2 linked regions of the Mus musculus genome follow. The protein of the gene in region 1 interacts with the protein of each later gene in a pairwise test. Links are inferred from orthologs where the notes say so. Each region holds a gene or a part of one and is shown on either strand. Other genes may lie near its edges.

Region 1 (3,646 bases):
AGCTTTTGAGTACCGCATGCATTACTAGAAATAACCTTTTTTTCCTCTCCAGCTGTCTTGTGCTCCGATTAGCTGCCTTCCAAAGTTTCTACTCAGGAGGGCTAAATGAAGCTAAGAATTAGCATTCTGGATCTTAAAGGCTGGGCTAGAGGCCCAAACAGGTTCAGGCAAAGAGCCATGATGCCACAGCAGCAGGAAGTGTTTCCTACCGTGACAGGTCCTTCTGCATCTACCCCAGACCTGGACACTTTCCCAGAGTGGACCTTCCCATACTCACACCAACCAGTGCCCGGCAGCTCTCTGTTAAGAATCTCCAGGGTCCATCTCTAATTCTTACACCATCATGGACTGGTTATGTAACAGCTGAGTTTTCCTCTCCAATCTCAAAGTAAACACAGGGGATCTTTTTTTCTAGAGGTTTCTAATGCGTAATCTAACACTACTCTTCCACCATCTTCCTATCTACAATGTCCTCTCCTCTGTTCAACTGTGTGAACAGACCAGAAAGTTGCATACCTTGTATCCCAGAGAAGTCGGAGATGCTTAGATTAGATGGTTCAGAAGTCTTCAATTCCATTTCTGCCCGGAGCGAGGCAATCTCCATCTCATAGTCCCCTCGAATGCGCTCCATGTCATCGAGATCATTCTGCAACCGGCAGAGATCATCCTGCAAGGACGCTATGTCACTCTCATGTTCAGTGGCAGAGTCTGCCGCAGCTTGCCGTAGATTTTGGATCTCTGCTTGGGCCAAATGCAACTCCTGCTCCATTTCTTTAAGTTCGCTTTCCTTCTCATGCTCTAACAGGGAAATCTCCTCCCGTAGATGTTGCAGCTCACCTGAAAAACAAACAAACAAACAAACAAACAAACCCAAAGGTTGGTGGTCAAGAGGTGAATGTGCTGAGCAAAGTCTGGAAACACAGCGTTCAAGAGAGTCTTACCTGCTGTCTGAAAGCCACTGACAACCTAGTCTTTCCCCCACCAGAGATCCAGAGCACCTAATAGGTTGTATTTTATCAGTGTCCTAAGTCTTTCTAAAAATTTCGTAAGTTAAAAAAAAAACAAAATTCAGAGTATTTTCATTTATCCATCCTGGGGCTTAGGAAATACAAGACCCCAGAGGCTCCTCTTAGCCCCACACTTCCTGTAAGCACAGGATGCAAAACAGTACACATGTAGAATTCAAGGTGAAATTAAATAATAATTTCACCACAAAATAATAAAACACCAGGGCTGGTGAGATGGCTCAGTGGGTAAGAGCACCCGACTGCTCTTCCGAAGGTCCGGAGTTCAAATCCCAGAAACCACATGGTGGCTCACAACCATCTGTAACAAGATCTGACGCCCTCTTCTGGAGTGTCTGAAGACAGCTCCAGTGTACTTACATATAATAAATAAATAAATCTTTAAAAAAAAAAATAAAACACCGAATAATAACCTGCATGGTGGTTGACAACATCAACTGTTGGGATCATGATACAGCTCACCGAGAGCCTTAAGTAGAAGCCAATGTCTGTGCCACTTTTAGACCTCCAAAAACATTAAGTCAAAAGAAACCTTTTTTACTAGCTAGAAAAATATGAAAGTGATTTTTAGGATATATTAGGGAGAAAGAAAAACAAATCAGATACTGTACAACATAAATACTTAAAGATACAGAAAAACAGTCGAAGAAGATCTATGCCCCAAACCATAAAGAGTAGACGCTTCAAGTGTGGGAAAAGGGCTTACCATACAAGCTTAATTAAGGGCCTGAGATCAGATCCCTGGCATCCACATAAAACCCAGACCTAGTGGCATGAGTCGGTGCCCTAACCCTGGGACTACAGCATGTGGAGCAGGCAGAGACAGATCCCTGCAGCTTATTGGCTTGCCAGTTTGGCTAAAGCAGGGAGCTCCTGGTTTAGTGAGAGTCTCTGTCTCAAAACATAAGGGGAAGAGTGAGGAAGACACTTGACACTGACTCCTGGTTTCCACATTCACAGAGTCACAGAAAATACATTTAAAAAAGAGCAATTGCTTCAGAGGAGTAGGGTAACATTACAGGTGTCTTAATCTCCATCTTGTAGCAGTGTTGCTTGATTTTTCACACGTGTCTACACTTTATATATGGATTGTGCTTATATTTTAATATGCAAAACAAATGTGTCAGAACCCTGGGGATCATCTGAGGTTGTTTCAGTTTGTTTCTTTTTTGGTTTTTTGAAATAGGTTTCTCTGTGTAGCCCTGGCTGTCCTGGAACTCAAGAGATCCACCTACCTCTCCTCTTTTGCTTTTTAAGACAGGGTCTCATTCTGTAGCACAGGCTGATCTCAAACTCAGCCTCCCGAGTGATGAGATTACAGACATGAGTCACTATATCTAGTTTCGCATCTGGATGCAGGCACCCATTTGGAATGGGTGAAAATAACTCGGAAGTGGAGAGTTAAAGTCATGGATTTCAAGAAGACTTCAGAAGTGTGGGAAGGATTAAGGGATGGAAGAGAACTGGACTTTACAAGGTATGCTGTCCCCATGTCCCATCTCCTGCATATTCTAGCAAACATCCAGGTTCCATCTTTTTCTAACGTCTCCTCCACCTCCTCCAAAAGTTAAGAGGAATCCTCAAGGCTCATATAGTGCCTTGAACTCTGTAGCACATGTGGCTGTGTTCCGTTCTGTCCTCACTTGGCTATAAAGTTTATGCAAACAGGGAACATGCTGGTTTCATTTACTTCCTTTCAAACAGAAAGTCAGGCCATGGGGATGTAGTTCAGTACCTAGCACACATGAGATGCTGGGTTCAACCTTTAACCAAGGAAATTAAGCCCAAATCCAGCTCAATAAATATAAATTTACTATATTCATGTAGGAGGTAGAGACTCATTCATTCAATTTTTACTGAGTTTCTTCTGTATACGCAACATTACATGTTAAGAGCACATGGGCGTTCTATAAGACACATTTAAGGGCACCATTGTACATGTCTATAGTCCCAGCACTCTAGAGGCCGAAGTAAGAGTACTGCTTGAGTCTAGGAGTTTGAGACCAGCCTGTGTCAAGCTGTACGGGAGGGAGAGAAGAAGGGAGAAAGCACCCATTTGGGTATATGGCCAATAAGTGGACAGGTTGAACCCAGCATCTCATATGGCTACATACTGACCCGTATCCCCACATCCTGACTTTCTATTTGAAAGGAAGTAAATAAAACCAGCGTGTTCCTTGTTTTCATAAAGTTTATGACCAAGAGATGGGAAGACCAACTAAAACACCCCACAACACAAATATATTCCACAGTACAAGAATTTACAAGGTGATATCTAGATCCTCAGCTCAGCTTAGTTGGAGCGAGAGGCATGGGGGGGGGGGGGTGTCAACTGGTCACTATGATGAAGACCCCACCCCAGGCCTGGGCATTCTAGGGGCACAGCCTAACCTCCATCTCCCTAGCATACCCTCAAACCTCACTAGCTAGCTGTTCGGGACCTGGCTCTGTAAAGAGCCTTCTTAGATCATGGGAGTCAGGGTAGTGATAGGTGGCGAGGGGCCAGGCTCATCTTGGAAGCTGAATGGGATAGGCCAGCCAGGAGTTGGAAAGGCAGGGACCAGGTTCCAAAGAGCTGGCGCCGGTTGACTGCGGGCTGGGGCCTTCAGGGGGCGCGGCGG
Region 2 (4,155 bases), on another chromosome or scaffold:
TGTCAAGCTGCTCGATCAACTTTTAAATTCTACTTTTGAAATTATGAAAAAGTATATCTAAAGATACTCAGATGTGTATTAAAGTAATATATTAAAGTAATATAAACCACGTGAGTTATGTTGAAAAGTCATAGAATGGTTAAGTTATAGAATCAAAGTAGGTTATTCTGCAGCTATGGACATGTTTATTAAAGTGCCATAATTTAGAAATTTGCTTATACAAAATGTATTTCTGAGGTTGGAGAGACAGCTCAGCGGTTGGGCACTGGCTGCTCCTGCAGAGGACCTGTGCTCAGTTTCAGTACCCCCTGGCACCTCACAACTGCCTCTAACTCCAGCTCCAAGAGACTAGATGTCCTTTTCTGGACTCTAAGGCAACAGGCACACATGGTACACGTGAATATATGCAGGAAAACACTCAAACACATAAAACAATTTCTAAAAGAATGTATTTGCAACCCATATAATTCTGTATCCATCTTCCCTCATATTAAAAAGTAAATTATATATAGATAAATTATATATAGATTTTGAGTCTGTGGGTATAAAAAGCACAAACACGGGCTGGCAAGATGACTCAGCAGTTAAGAGCACTAACTGCTCTTCCGAAGGTCCTGAGTTCAAATCCCAGCAACCACATGGTGGCTCACAACCACCGATAATGAGATCTGACGCCCTCTTCTGGTGTATCTGAAGACAGCTACGGTGTACTTATGTATAATATAATAATAAATCTTTGGGCTGGAGCGAGCAGAGATCCAAAAACAAAAATTAAATCCCCAACAACCACATGAAGGCTCACAACCATCTGTACAGCTACAGTATACTCATATACATGAAGTAAATAAAGAAATCTAAAAAAAGAAAAAAAGAAAAAGCACAAACACACCTGTCAACTGTCCTATGTAATCAAAATATGGCCAGAAGAGCCAAGAAGTGCGCCCGGGTAGGTTCACTTTTGGTTTTTGTTTTAAGTAAAGCCTGAAGCATTGCCACAGAAGCACACTTGGCAGGTTCAAGACGAGTCAACGATGTTGACGATGCATGTGCAAAGAGTTTAAATCTAAACCTAATTTCAGACTTAATTTTCTGGTTCCGGTTCACGAGTCCAGCCGGACCGCGGCAGGTACGGACTACAACTCCCAGCATGCAAGAGGTTCTTACCCACACTCCCGGGCTCCTGACGCGTACATTTCCCAGAAAGCCGAGCGATCACGCTGGCGCGCGCGCGTGCGCTCTGGCGCCAGTAGTCTCTTTTCATTTGGGTTTGACCTACAGCCGCCCGGGAAAAGATGGCCGCGCCTGCAGCGTCCGGACTGTCTCGACAGGTAGAAGCTGGCGGGAGGCTCCCTCCCAGGGTTGCGGGTCCCCGGCTCCCATCGCCGCGTGTGAGGCCGTGGCTGAGGGGTCAGGCAGCCCGCCCAGGGTCGTGGGGCCCGGCGACTGCAGGCAGCGTGGGGCGGATCCGCGTTTCGTCCCCGTGGGGAGTGGGCACGGATTTCTCTGTCTTGACCTTGACATCCAGGACTCACTGCATAGCGGAGCAGCTGGCAAGGGCATGGGAGAGAGCACTGGGGAGAGTACATGCCTGTCCTTGCTGGTAAACCTAAGGGCTGCCTGCTGCTTAGGATTTTGAGTGTTGGAAAAGCGCATCCCCTGTGTTTATAAAGAAGGGGGGAAGGGCTAAACGTCTCCCCTTTGGCTGGCAGCTGGTGAGTGATGGCGAGCTTGCAACAGGCCAAGTCCAGCAGAACCTGGAATTGGGTGGAAAAAAATACGTGCCTGGGTCATCTGCCATGATAATTTTGTATCGACAGCCGTCATGGTTTTCATCTGCACCATACAGAATTATTACTAAGGCGTTAGAAAGTTTTTTAACCCTCATAGCCAGTTCCAATCGAGTACATTCTAGTCTAGAGAGAGTAGTATATGACTGTGACCTGTGCCCTCGCAAAACGCTTTTTAAACTGGATTCCAGGCTGCTCCAGTGACAGACACAGTGCCTGAAGCCTGGTGCTGTATCAAGAGATCTTTGGTCTTAGATAGCATTTCAGTTCCTAAGCAAGTAGGTTTCCTTGAATTAAGACTGGACTCATTTCATGTTCATTAAAGTTTTTCTCAAAGGTGATGTAATATAAATCCTCCGCTTTCATAAAGCATTCTTCCCAAATGTGATAAAGCTCTTAATTATTTTGAAAAATTCCACTTTGGGAAGTTAGCAGCTTTTCTCTCTCAGCTATCCAGGGAGGAAGGTGTTGGGAAGGCAGTTTCTGGAGGGATTTGGGGTGATTCTCAATAGGGAGTGTATAACAAAGAGCAGCTCCCACTCATATAACCTGTGTGATGATAGAAAGGAATTGCGCAAGTATTTGATTAGATTATTTTAACACATTGCTAAGCTAATGCAGAAACCCTGTCTGATCTGTTTTCTTTTGTTCTAAAGGTTCGGAGCTTCAGTACATCTGTGGTCAGGCCCTTTGCCAAGCTTGTAAGGGTATGTCAGCTTACTTATTTGTGTGTGTGTGTTTGGAAAACAATGAAAGAGTGAGTTGAACAGAAATACGTTGAAGTGTGTAATTAATAACCTTGGTCTGCAAGGGTGGCAGTTCCCAGATGAGTGCCTGGGTGCAGGGGATGCTGTTGGGCGCCTGTCACACAGGGTGGGCTCAACCCTAGACTTTAATGTTCTAAAAATAACTTGTTTGGGCCCAGCAAGAGCTCAGCAGGTAAGGGCTGGATGGCAGGCCTGAGGGTGTGAGTTCAATCCCTGGAACCCGGAGGGGGAAAGGAAAGAAAGACCTGAAAGTTTTCTGTTCTGTTCTCTGCGTGTAGTGCGTGCGCGCGCACACACACACACACACACACACACACACACACACACACTGTATGTATAAAAGACTCTTAAATTGTTTTTCCTAGCAATCGTCCATAGACAAGCTAGCCTTTCATTCTTTTTTTTATGAAGGAACTGTTTCTAACAAAAGAAAGTGAAGTGCCCAGATTCTCACACAGTTGATACTCTGTGGCAACTCCGAGTTGCTCAGATGTGAGGCCTGCTTGCAGCCTGCACCTTGTTTCCCCAAGCAGAATCAGTACTGACAGGTACCATTCCCAGGCACCAAGAGTCTCACCATTGATTGCAGAGGTCTATTGGCCTATTCTTTTTAAACCAGAAGTCTGACTGACCTCTGGCCCAAGACAGATTGAAGTATGGCTGCACGTGCATTTATTCTATAGTTCATTGTTACTAATTCATGCATGGCAGAATCTGAAGATATCCTGGGCTGCTGTATGCTCTCGGGCAACCAGGCCAGTGATCTGCACTCATGGTCCCCTTAGGAATAGCAGAATACAATGCTCTAGGGACGTTGGGTGGAACTTACAGCAACACACGCTACGCTTAATAACAGCACCAGATTCCTTCAGCCTCTGTGAGTGGAGCCATTTTATTCCTCCTGAGAACTTCATAAAACACCATGACCGTGATAGGGACACATCCACATGTGCACTTCTTACTGCTGCCCCTGCATTGCTAATCTTCACAACTGCCTGCCGTCGTACTAAACTCCTGTGCTTAGGGATGGCATTGTCACTGAGATCAAAGAAAGCCAAAGCTTGCTGTAACATTTGCAGGTAGGGAGAGCTGGGAGAGACGCTGGACACTGCCCTCTCTGCCCCTCTAAAGGTAGAGGGTCCTGGCCAGGGAGACGGCCCTAGTTTGTGAGTTCTCATTTAGGACTGCACCTTGGCTTGGCAGTGGGAATGCAGTCTTGGAGTTGGGGGTAATTCTGTTCCTGACTTAGCTGCCTCACTCCCCCCCTCTTACTCTTGTTTCCAGCCCCCTGTTCAGGTCTACGGCATCGAAGGCCGCTATGCAACCGCCCTGTACTCTGCTGCATCTAAGGAGAAGAAGCTGGACCAGGTGGAGAAGGAGCTGCTGCGCGTAGGGGTGAGCAGCTCTCTGTTGGGCTTGTTCCTGTGTCCGGTCCTAACGGGGTACAGCCTATAAAAAGAACCACTAGAAACTGCCAAACAGTTTGCTGTAGACAAGATGCTGTTAATAAGACCGCTGTATTACTCTGAAACTTTTGTGTAATACAAGCTAGGAGATGCGTAAGTATATTCACATGAACCCAAGCTTTCCAGCTAGAAAAG

The links.
Region 2: the proteins of Ccdc136 (region 1) and Atp5o interact in binary tests that used the Homo sapiens proteins (3 or more experiments, as listed by UniProt). The two-hybrid records come from large-scale screens. The link is inferred for Mus musculus from reciprocal best matches to the Homo sapiens genes CCDC136 and ATP5PO.

The regions. Positions count from the first base shown.
Region 1 is NC_000072.6:29,403,062-29,406,707, reverse strand, and holds part of Ccdc136 (coiled-coil domain-containing protein 136), read right to left. Parts: intron 838-3,646; coding exon 517-837; intron 1-516. UniProt on the Homo sapiens protein: May play a role in acrosome formation in spermatogenesis and in fertilization.
Region 2 is NC_000082.6:91,928,693-91,932,847, reverse strand, and holds the start of Atp5o (ATP synthase subunit O, mitochondrial precursor), read left to right. Parts: upstream 1-1,217; 5' UTR 1,218-1,292; coding exon 1,293-1,328; intron 1,329-2,443; coding exon 2,444-2,494; intron 2,495-3,838; coding exon 3,839-3,949; intron 3,950-4,155. UniProt on the Homo sapiens protein: Subunit OSCP, of the mitochondrial membrane ATP synthase complex (F(1)F(0) ATP synthase or Complex V) that produces ATP from ADP in the presence of a proton gradient across the membrane which is generated by electron transport complexes of the respiratory chain.